Linked DNA regions of Macaca mulatta. The main gene of each other region encodes a partner of the protein of the gene in region 2 in a complex. Links are inferred from orthologs where the notes say so. Each region holds a gene or a part of one and is shown on either strand. Other genes may lie near its edges. The genes, in order: BRK1 and CYFIP2.

Region 1 (4,419 bases), on a different chromosome or scaffold from region 2:
AGAGTGAAAATCTGTCTCAAAAAAAAATCTACCTGTAAATGGATCCCTGCAGTTCAAACATGTATTGTTCAAGGGACAATTGTAAAAGCTTGCTAATGGCTTAGGATGGGAAAAAAACATCCCACACACAGTCATCCTAAATTATCCAATATCAAGAAAACATACTCAAGTCTATCCTTAAAATTTATCCAGTTTTGCAGCTTGTGGGGTCTTTTTCTAAACTCTTGCATTGTGATATTGTCAATCTTTCTTTTTTTTTTTTTTTGGAGACGGAGTCTTAATCTTTCGCCCAAGCTGCAGTGCAGTGGCACGATCCCTGCTCACTGCAACCTCCACCTCCCCGGTTCAAGCGATTCTCCTGCCTCAGCCTCCTGAGTAGCTGGGATTACAGGCGTGCACCACCACACCCAGCTAATTTTGTATTTTTAGTAGAGACAGGGTTTCACCATGTTAGCCAGGCTGATCTCAAACTTGACCTCAGGTGATCCGCCCGCCTCAGCCTCCCAAAGTGCTGCGATTACAGGCATGAGCCACCATGCCAATCTTTAAGAACCTGCCTCAGGTACACCTAACTACTAAGTCAAATTCCTTTGACTGTTAATCCTGCATTATAATTATCTTCTTACTTAGTTGAATTTAATTGTTATTTTCTCTAAATTCACTTTCTAAAATCTTTAAAAACCACCTAGTAATTACTCCAAACATTTGGCCATCATCATCACTTTAAGGGAGGATAATGATCTAAGCTAAGGGAAGTCATTTATTTTGGCTCCAAAAGACTGGACTTCTGTATGTCTAATTCCTTAGTTTAGAATTTGTTGGGGGCAGGGCACAGTGGCTCACGCCTGTAATCCCAGCACTTTGGGAGGCTGGGGTGGGTGGATCACTTGAGCTCAGGAGTTTGAGACCAGCCTGGGCAAGATGGCCAAAACCTGTCTCTACTTTAAAAAGCACAAAAATCAGCCAGGTGTGGTGCACATCTGTAAACCTAGCTACTCAGGAGGCAGAGGCACGAAAATAGCTTGAGTCCAGGAAGACGAGGTTGCAGTGAGCTGAGATCATGCCACTGCACTCCAGCCTGGACTAGAGTGAGACCCTGTCTCAAAAAAAAAAAAAAAAAAAATTGTTGGAAAGCCCAAATAAAAAGTCTTTACTCTCCATCTGATCATAAAATGTGACTCTTACAAATCAGACATAATGTCTGAGCTGATATCTCCTTGCCTATTAAGCAAGAAAAGAGACATTTCTCCTTTACAAATCCTAAGCTTAAGCTTTTCAATTTTCAGTCAGTCCCAAGACTCATTCACTATAAATTTAATGGGTATGATATACCAAGACTATGTCAAAGATAAACATAATGAATTAAAAGTTTACTGGTACAATTCTGTTCTCAGAAATGAAATTACATTACTAGAATCCAACTCAGGATTTCTTTTTTTTGAGACAGCGTCTTACTCTGTCGCCTAGGCTGGAGTGCAGTGGCATGAACATGGCTCACTGCCTCCAGGGCTCAAGTGATCCTCCTGTCTCGGCCTCCCGAGTAGCTGGGACAACAGGTCTGCATGACCATGCCCAACTAATTTTTTGTCATTGTTGTTTTTTTGTAGAGATAGGATCTGGCCATGTTGTCCAGGCTGGTCTTGAACTCCTGGGCTCAAGCAATCCTCCCAACTTGGCTTCCCAAAGTGCTGGGATTACAGATATGAGCCATTGAACCCAGCCATGATTATAGTCCTATACACCCTGTATGAAAATACTTTAATACAAAAATGATGCTCTTCTTTGTTCTGAAGTTGTCATTATTTCATCTTCAAGATTAGAACTTCTTTGAATGTAGGAAGTGGTTCTTATTCTGTGTCTCCCACTATGCCTTAAGAGAGGGCCTCATATGGAGCTCTAGCATATCTCGCTGATGCTTTCTGACCATCTCTTGCTCTGTCACCTTTACACTCCTAAGGCCATCATTCCTTTAGCTAGAGAATAATTCATTTAAAAATCTTTCCAAAGTACACTAGTTGAGGAAAAGTTCACTAGATGCATCCCTATATCCTGTAATTACACAAGAAAATCTAACCAGTGCCAAGTTCTCTTAAACACTTGGAGAAGAAGGGGTAGGAGTCTTGATTACTTTGCTTGCTGTTCATAAGAAGTTAAGGCTGTCACGAGCAGGCCATGCCTAGGAAAGACTCTGGTAAAGATGTCTTTCTGCTGAAGGCACCCGACCTGTACTAGCTCTGAGGAACAGGCTAGAAGTAGACAGAACACCTACCACAAGCTATATACTAGCAATACAGAGAGGATTTCCAAGATCCTGGCATCCCTCTGACCTCATCTCCAACCACTCTCACCGCAGCACACACAGGAGACGGGAAGAAATGGACAAGACGGGAGTGGTTGACAACGGGTCCAACTAAAAGTCATGACGCTAGAGGGTTTCCAGCAGATCCTAAAGATGGGGAACCGTCAACAGTCTTCAAACAGAGCAGTGACACGGTCCCGGATGTTCACTTTGAGTGCAAAGTGGGGACTGGAATGGATGTAGAGTACAAAGGAGGCAGGGAGACCACTTAGGAGAACCACGGAGCGAGGATGGGGCTGCCTGACCCGTCTGGGAAAAGGACTTGTAGAATGGGTCCAGGGGCATGGCAGGAAGCCAGGAGCTCAGCGTAGGGCAGGATAATCCTACAGAGACTGTCCAGCGGAGCCTGAGGGTCAGGACGGGAGGAAGAAGGTGGGACCTGAAGGAGGAAGTGAAAACCCGCAATAGCCGAAGGCTCCGGGAGTCCTCTCAAAGCATCTCCCCGGAGCCCAGCCCAAGCGCCTCAGCGGCCTCCCTCCTCCCCGCCTCCCCTTGCTGGCCCGCTGACCGAACGAGTTGAGAAAGTCCGCGATTTTCTTGATGCTGCTGGTGATTATCTCAATGTACTCTCGGTTAGCCCAGTCCTGGTGAATCTCCCGCTGCACCGGATCCTCCTGTCCCGCCATGGCGGCCGCCTGAGGAAGAGCGACTGCGCAGGCGCCCCGACCCTACAGGCCTCTAGCGCGCCTGCGCCATCAGCCCACACCCATCCTCTGGAGCGCCCACGAATTCTCGGGTACTGTGATACGCCTGTGCAATGTAACGTCCTCGCTGGCGTTTGCTCTCTACTCCCACGCTGTAGAAAACAGAAGCCTCGACTCCGGCGGCGAAGTTGTAGTGCACGCGCGTTATGGTGTTAAACGGGCTCGTGGGGGGTCTTGCCGTCTCCCTCAACTGCTCCAGGCTGTGTCCGCAGTAAGATGGGCACAGTCGATTAAATCACACTAAATAGCCGGGCGCGGTGGCTCACGCCTGTAATCCTAGCACTTTGGGAGGCCGAGGCGGGCGGATTACGAGGTCAGGAGATCGAGACCACGGTGAAACCCCGTCTCTACTAAAAACACAAAACATTAGCCGGGCGCGGTGGCTGGCGCCTGTAGTCCCAGCTACTCAGGAGGCTGAGGCAGGAGAATGGCGTGAACCCGGGAGGCGGAGTTTGCAGTGACCCGGAGATCGCGCCACTGCACTCCAGCCTGGGAGACAGAGCGAGACTCCCTCTCAAAAAAAAAAAACAAACAAAAAAAACACACTAAATACAAGTCTTTTTTTTCTTTTTTTTTTTAGACGGAGTCTAAAAAATGACATGGTCATAAATAGGTGGGCACACTGCAAACTGGAACAATCCCTTTCAGAAGGAACTTTGTGTTTTTGTGACAAGGTTTTGTTTTTTGTTTTTTTGAGAGGAGTCTCGCTCTGTCGCCCAGGCTGGAGTGGTGTGATCTCGGCTCACTGCAACCTCCGCCTCCCGGATTCAAGCGGTTCTCCTGCCTCAGCTGCCCAAGTAGCTGGAATTACAGGCACACACCACCACGCCCGCCTAAATTTTTTGTATTTTTAGTAGAGCCGGTGTTTCACCATCCTGGCCAGACTGGTCTCGAACTCCTGACCTCAGATAATCCTCCCGCCTCGGCCTCCCAAAGTGCTGGGATTACAGGCGTGAGCCACCGCGCTGGGCCTGACACAAGGTCTTACTGATGCCCAGGCTGGAATGCAATGGCATGATCATGGCTCACTGCAGCCTCGAACTCCTGGGCTCAAGCTATCCTCCAGCCTCAGCCTCCAGTGTAGTTGGGACTACAGGTTCAGGTCACCACACCTGGCTAATTTTTGTATTTTTTGTAGAGGGGGGGTTTCACCATGTTGGCCAGGCTGGTCTGGAACTCCTAACCTCAAGTGATCTGCCCACCTCGGCCTCCCAAAGTGCTGGGATTATAGGCATGAGCCACCACGCCCAGTCTATTATGCAGTCATTTAAATGCTAATTATGAACACAAGCAACATGAAAACAAATACAATAAATTAAGGGGAAAAACAAAACATCCTCCCTCCCTCCCTCCCTT
Region 2 (3,811 bases):
AGGGTCAAATGTTAATAGAAACCAACTCTAAACACACAAAAAAACCAATTTCTACCATGGATTTGCCCTGACATGCTTTCGTTTCAAAGGCGCCACGGTCTTCCTCACTTAGACCAGCACTTGGGCCCTGTTCAGGGACAGATATACCCATCTCTGAGTGGCATCCCAACTGGAAAAAGTGGGCTGCAGCTTATGATGAGAAGACGAAGGCTTTGGTTGCCATAACTTGTCAGAGGTCAGCTATAGACGGTGGAGAAGCCCAGAACCTGAGCCAAAGGACGCCCAATGCCTCCTTATTGTTTATGAGATCCTGAGGCTGTGCTACACCCAGGCTCAGAAACCCACACTGGCAACGTGCCGGGAAGACAGTACCCAGGCCTGATTCCTGATCTCTAGGCTGACTTCACAGCTGCTCTCTCCTGCCCCTTCCATCTCCATGGTGGCTTCCGCTCCCCATACCTGGACGTGTCTCTGTTTCAGCAGTGTTTCATAGCGATTGGACGGTGGATAAGGAATGATGACGCCATAATTCTTACACTCAGCTCGAAAACGTTTATCCAACAGGACACTGGAAGGAATAAAAGTGAAACAAGGTCAGTAAACAGACAGTGAATGACTCTCAACTGCCCAGATACTTCTATTTCAGATCATAGAATCTACCCACAGAGCACTATCTTATATATCTTAAGCAAAATTGTTTTCTGCTCTAGATAAGTTACTTCACATTTCTTTTGAGTCACAGAAGCTCAATACGTGAAACAGAGTTTCTAAGTTAAAGATGGGCAACACTGAACTTGGGCCACTTTCCTCTTTTATTCATTTACCACAAAAGCAATTGAGTGCTTGCTTGGTGTATCCCAGGAAACATTCTGGGTACTGGGAATACAAGGTGCCTCTCCTCATGGAGCTCATATTCGAATGAGGAAAGACTGATAAACACAAACAGAGGAATGAAATAATTTCAGATAATAGGTAATAGTTGCATAGTGTTTATTATTTCCCAGGCACTTTAAACACACACAGACAAACACACGTCCTTTTAAATCTCTCCACAACCCTATGAGCTGGGAGTGTTACTATCTTTCACACTGAGGCATGGATTGCAGAGGAGCAAGTGCTTTGAAAATAAGAAAATGGGATCATTTGGAGTTAGGAAGTCAGGCAAAGTCTCTCTAAAGAAGTTTTGCTAAATGGAGGCCTGAATGATAAAATCGGAAAGATCTAGGGGAGCACTATCATCGACACCATGAGCTTGGTTACGTTTGAGAAAGGGAAAGATGGCCAGTGTGGATAAAGTACAGTGCAGGTTGCACCGTATGGTGCAAAATGAATTTATGACATTAGACCAGGGCCAAACCAGGTAGGGCCACACAGATCCTAGTACAGAGGCTCGGTGTATTCTAGACATAACTAAAAGCCACCTAAAGAAAGAGACATGATCTAAATCTACACTGTCCAAAGTAGTAGCCACCGGCCACATGTGCCTACTGAACACTTGAGATGTGGCTGGTCCAAATTGACATGGGCTGTAAAACACAGGATTTTGAGGACTTAGAAGAAAAGAATGAAAAATCTCTAATAATTCCTATATTGAGTATATGTCAAAATTATAATGTTTTGGATATGTGGGGTTAAATATATTATTAAAATTAATTTCACCTGCTTCTTTTTCCTTTTTAAAATACCTCTACTAAAAAATTTAAAATAACATCTCTGGCTCACGTTTGTGACCATGTGGCATTTCGAATGAACAGGACTGACCTAGCTCATGGTTTTCCTCCTGGGTTTTCTCCGAATCTCTCAACCTCCTCAACTTTCCACACTTTAAAAAATCACTGATCTTACAGGGAAGGGTGTAGATAAAAGCCCATAAGTTAGACAAAGGAAGACCCAGGGTTCGACATGCCTGAGTCTGTTTCTATAGATGATGGAACAGTGTATTTGGAATCAGAATTGTCTTATAGAAGCCAGAAACCCAACTCACTGTTAGAACCACATCCCATTCAATCCACAGATGCGTATTGACTACTCTGTGAAAGGCTGTGTTCTCTGCTTTCCTTGAAATCCTACATGCATGCTTTCTATACTTTCCAGCCTTTAAGAGTCGCATTATTTAATGCACATCCTATGTTAACAGAAACTTATATGTGCTGCACATCAACTCCTATTTGAAATATATCAGGGCTACTTTGGCTGTTAAAAGCAAAATGAAGTAAATCCGTTTCATAGAGAAATTATTAAAGCAAGGAACTATCCTTGAAATTACTGGTTGGTATGTTTGGATTTCCAATAAGAATGGAAATACCTATATATAAATTTGAGGTTTTCCTTGATCAGTGCTGTTACAGGTTCTTGAAAACCAAGAACTCACGAGGGTTTGAACCAACATATAGTGGCAATACCAAGGAGCCTCTAAGCCTGATACATCTCTGATCCAGACTTCTTCACTGGCCTCCTGTCTGGTTTGCACACACCCATTCTTCTCCAATTCATTCTCCGTACATTTATATTTTTAAGGGAGTAAACTTTCACAAGTAAATAAAAATCGAATCGGGTCACTGTTGTACTTTTGAAACCATTCGGAGTCATTCCACTCCTGGGAGAAACAGCCACAAAGCCGGCGTGCCCTGGCCCTGCCCACCTCCCCAGCCTTAGCAGGCAGCCTGCCCCCTCTAGTGGTGGTGAAGAGACACTGACATGCATTAATTCACAGGAATCCTCCCACAGCCCTGTGAGGTTGGCAGGCTGTTATCATTATACTCCCGCCACAGGGACCTTGCACAAGCAGTTCCTTTTGCCTGCAACTTCCTGCCACATCCTTCACCTCCTTTTACTTTCTTCACTCCTACCAACTTCAGATAAGAACTCAGATGCCACTTCCGCAAGATGGCCTTTCTAGTTCCCCACCCCCAAAGGTTTAACCGTCGTACGTTCCCACGAGCTTTTCCCTCACAGAGAGCATGTAACCTCCTTGTCACTGTGCACTCATCGGCTTTTAGTCAATGTCTGTCTTTCCTGCTAGACTGCAGTCTGTGTGAGGTGAGCCCTCTATTTATTTAGTTTCCTTTCCACTCTATTTCAGCACCCAGTCTGGGCCTGTGGAATGGCTCTGTTTTCCTCAGGGGCTAAAGAAGAAGGGAGGTTTCACAATGGAAAATCACATCTTCCAGGTGGCAGTCTTAAGAGATTGCTACTCACAGCTCTGGGGCTTTCCTACCTGCCGGCCATGGCTTTGTAGTAAGCAAAGATCTGGTCTGCCAGCTTGTAGACAAACTGATCAAAACACAGGTTCACCTGGTGGAGAGGAAGCAGGAACATCACTGGTGCCCGTTCAGCTTAATCACAGAAACCGAGCCAACTGAAAGAGGGCAGTCGGCCAGGACTGCCCAAAGTGCATTCTGGGGAAAGACGCTTTGAAGGGGAAAAAGAAGATTCTGTGGCTAAGTTTGGGAGGTTTGGTCCCTTGCTCTCAGGGTCCTCAGTCAGTCAACAGACAAGGCAAAGTTCAAAAAGGAACCAACCTCCCCACGGACCCCCTCCTTAGCTGTTTTGAGGCTGCCTGCCTGGAGGGATGCAACGAACAGACCGTCAGAACCCGTCAGTGCTTGAATCTGTCTGCTAACTCGGCAGCCTCTCCATCTCTCTCTTCTGATAGATGTTATTTTTCATTGTATTTTACTTTGCTTTGCAATTTTTTTTTTTTTTTTTTTTTTGAGACGGAGTCTCGCTCTGTCGCCCAGGCTGGAGTGCAGTGGCACAATCTTGGCTCACTGCAAGCTCCGACTCCCGGGTTCACACCATTCTCTTGCCT

Evidence for each region.
Region 1: CYFIP2 (region 2) and BRK1 share a complex: the UniProt entries of both Homo sapiens proteins name them as parts of the WAVE1 complex. The link is inferred for Macaca mulatta from reciprocal best matches to the Homo sapiens genes CYFIP2 and BRK1.

The regions. Positions count from the first base shown.
Region 1 is NC_133407.1:148,959,561-148,963,979, reverse strand, and holds the start of BRK1 (protein BRICK1), read right to left. Parts: upstream 3,007-4,419; 5' UTR 2,986-3,006; coding exon 2,868-2,985; intron 1-2,867. UniProt on the Homo sapiens protein: Involved in regulation of actin and microtubule organization. Part of a WAVE complex that activates the Arp2/3 complex. As component of the WAVE1 complex, required for BDNF-NTRK2 endocytic trafficking and signaling from early endosomes.
Region 2 is NC_133411.1:166,199,426-166,203,236, reverse strand, and holds part of CYFIP2 (cytoplasmic FMR1-interacting protein 2), read right to left. Parts: intron 3,295-3,811; coding exon 3,218-3,294; intron 569-3,217; coding exon 460-568; intron 1-459. UniProt on the Homo sapiens protein: Involved in T-cell adhesion and p53/TP53-dependent induction of apoptosis. Does not bind RNA. As component of the WAVE1 complex, required for BDNF-NTRK2 endocytic trafficking and signaling from early endosomes.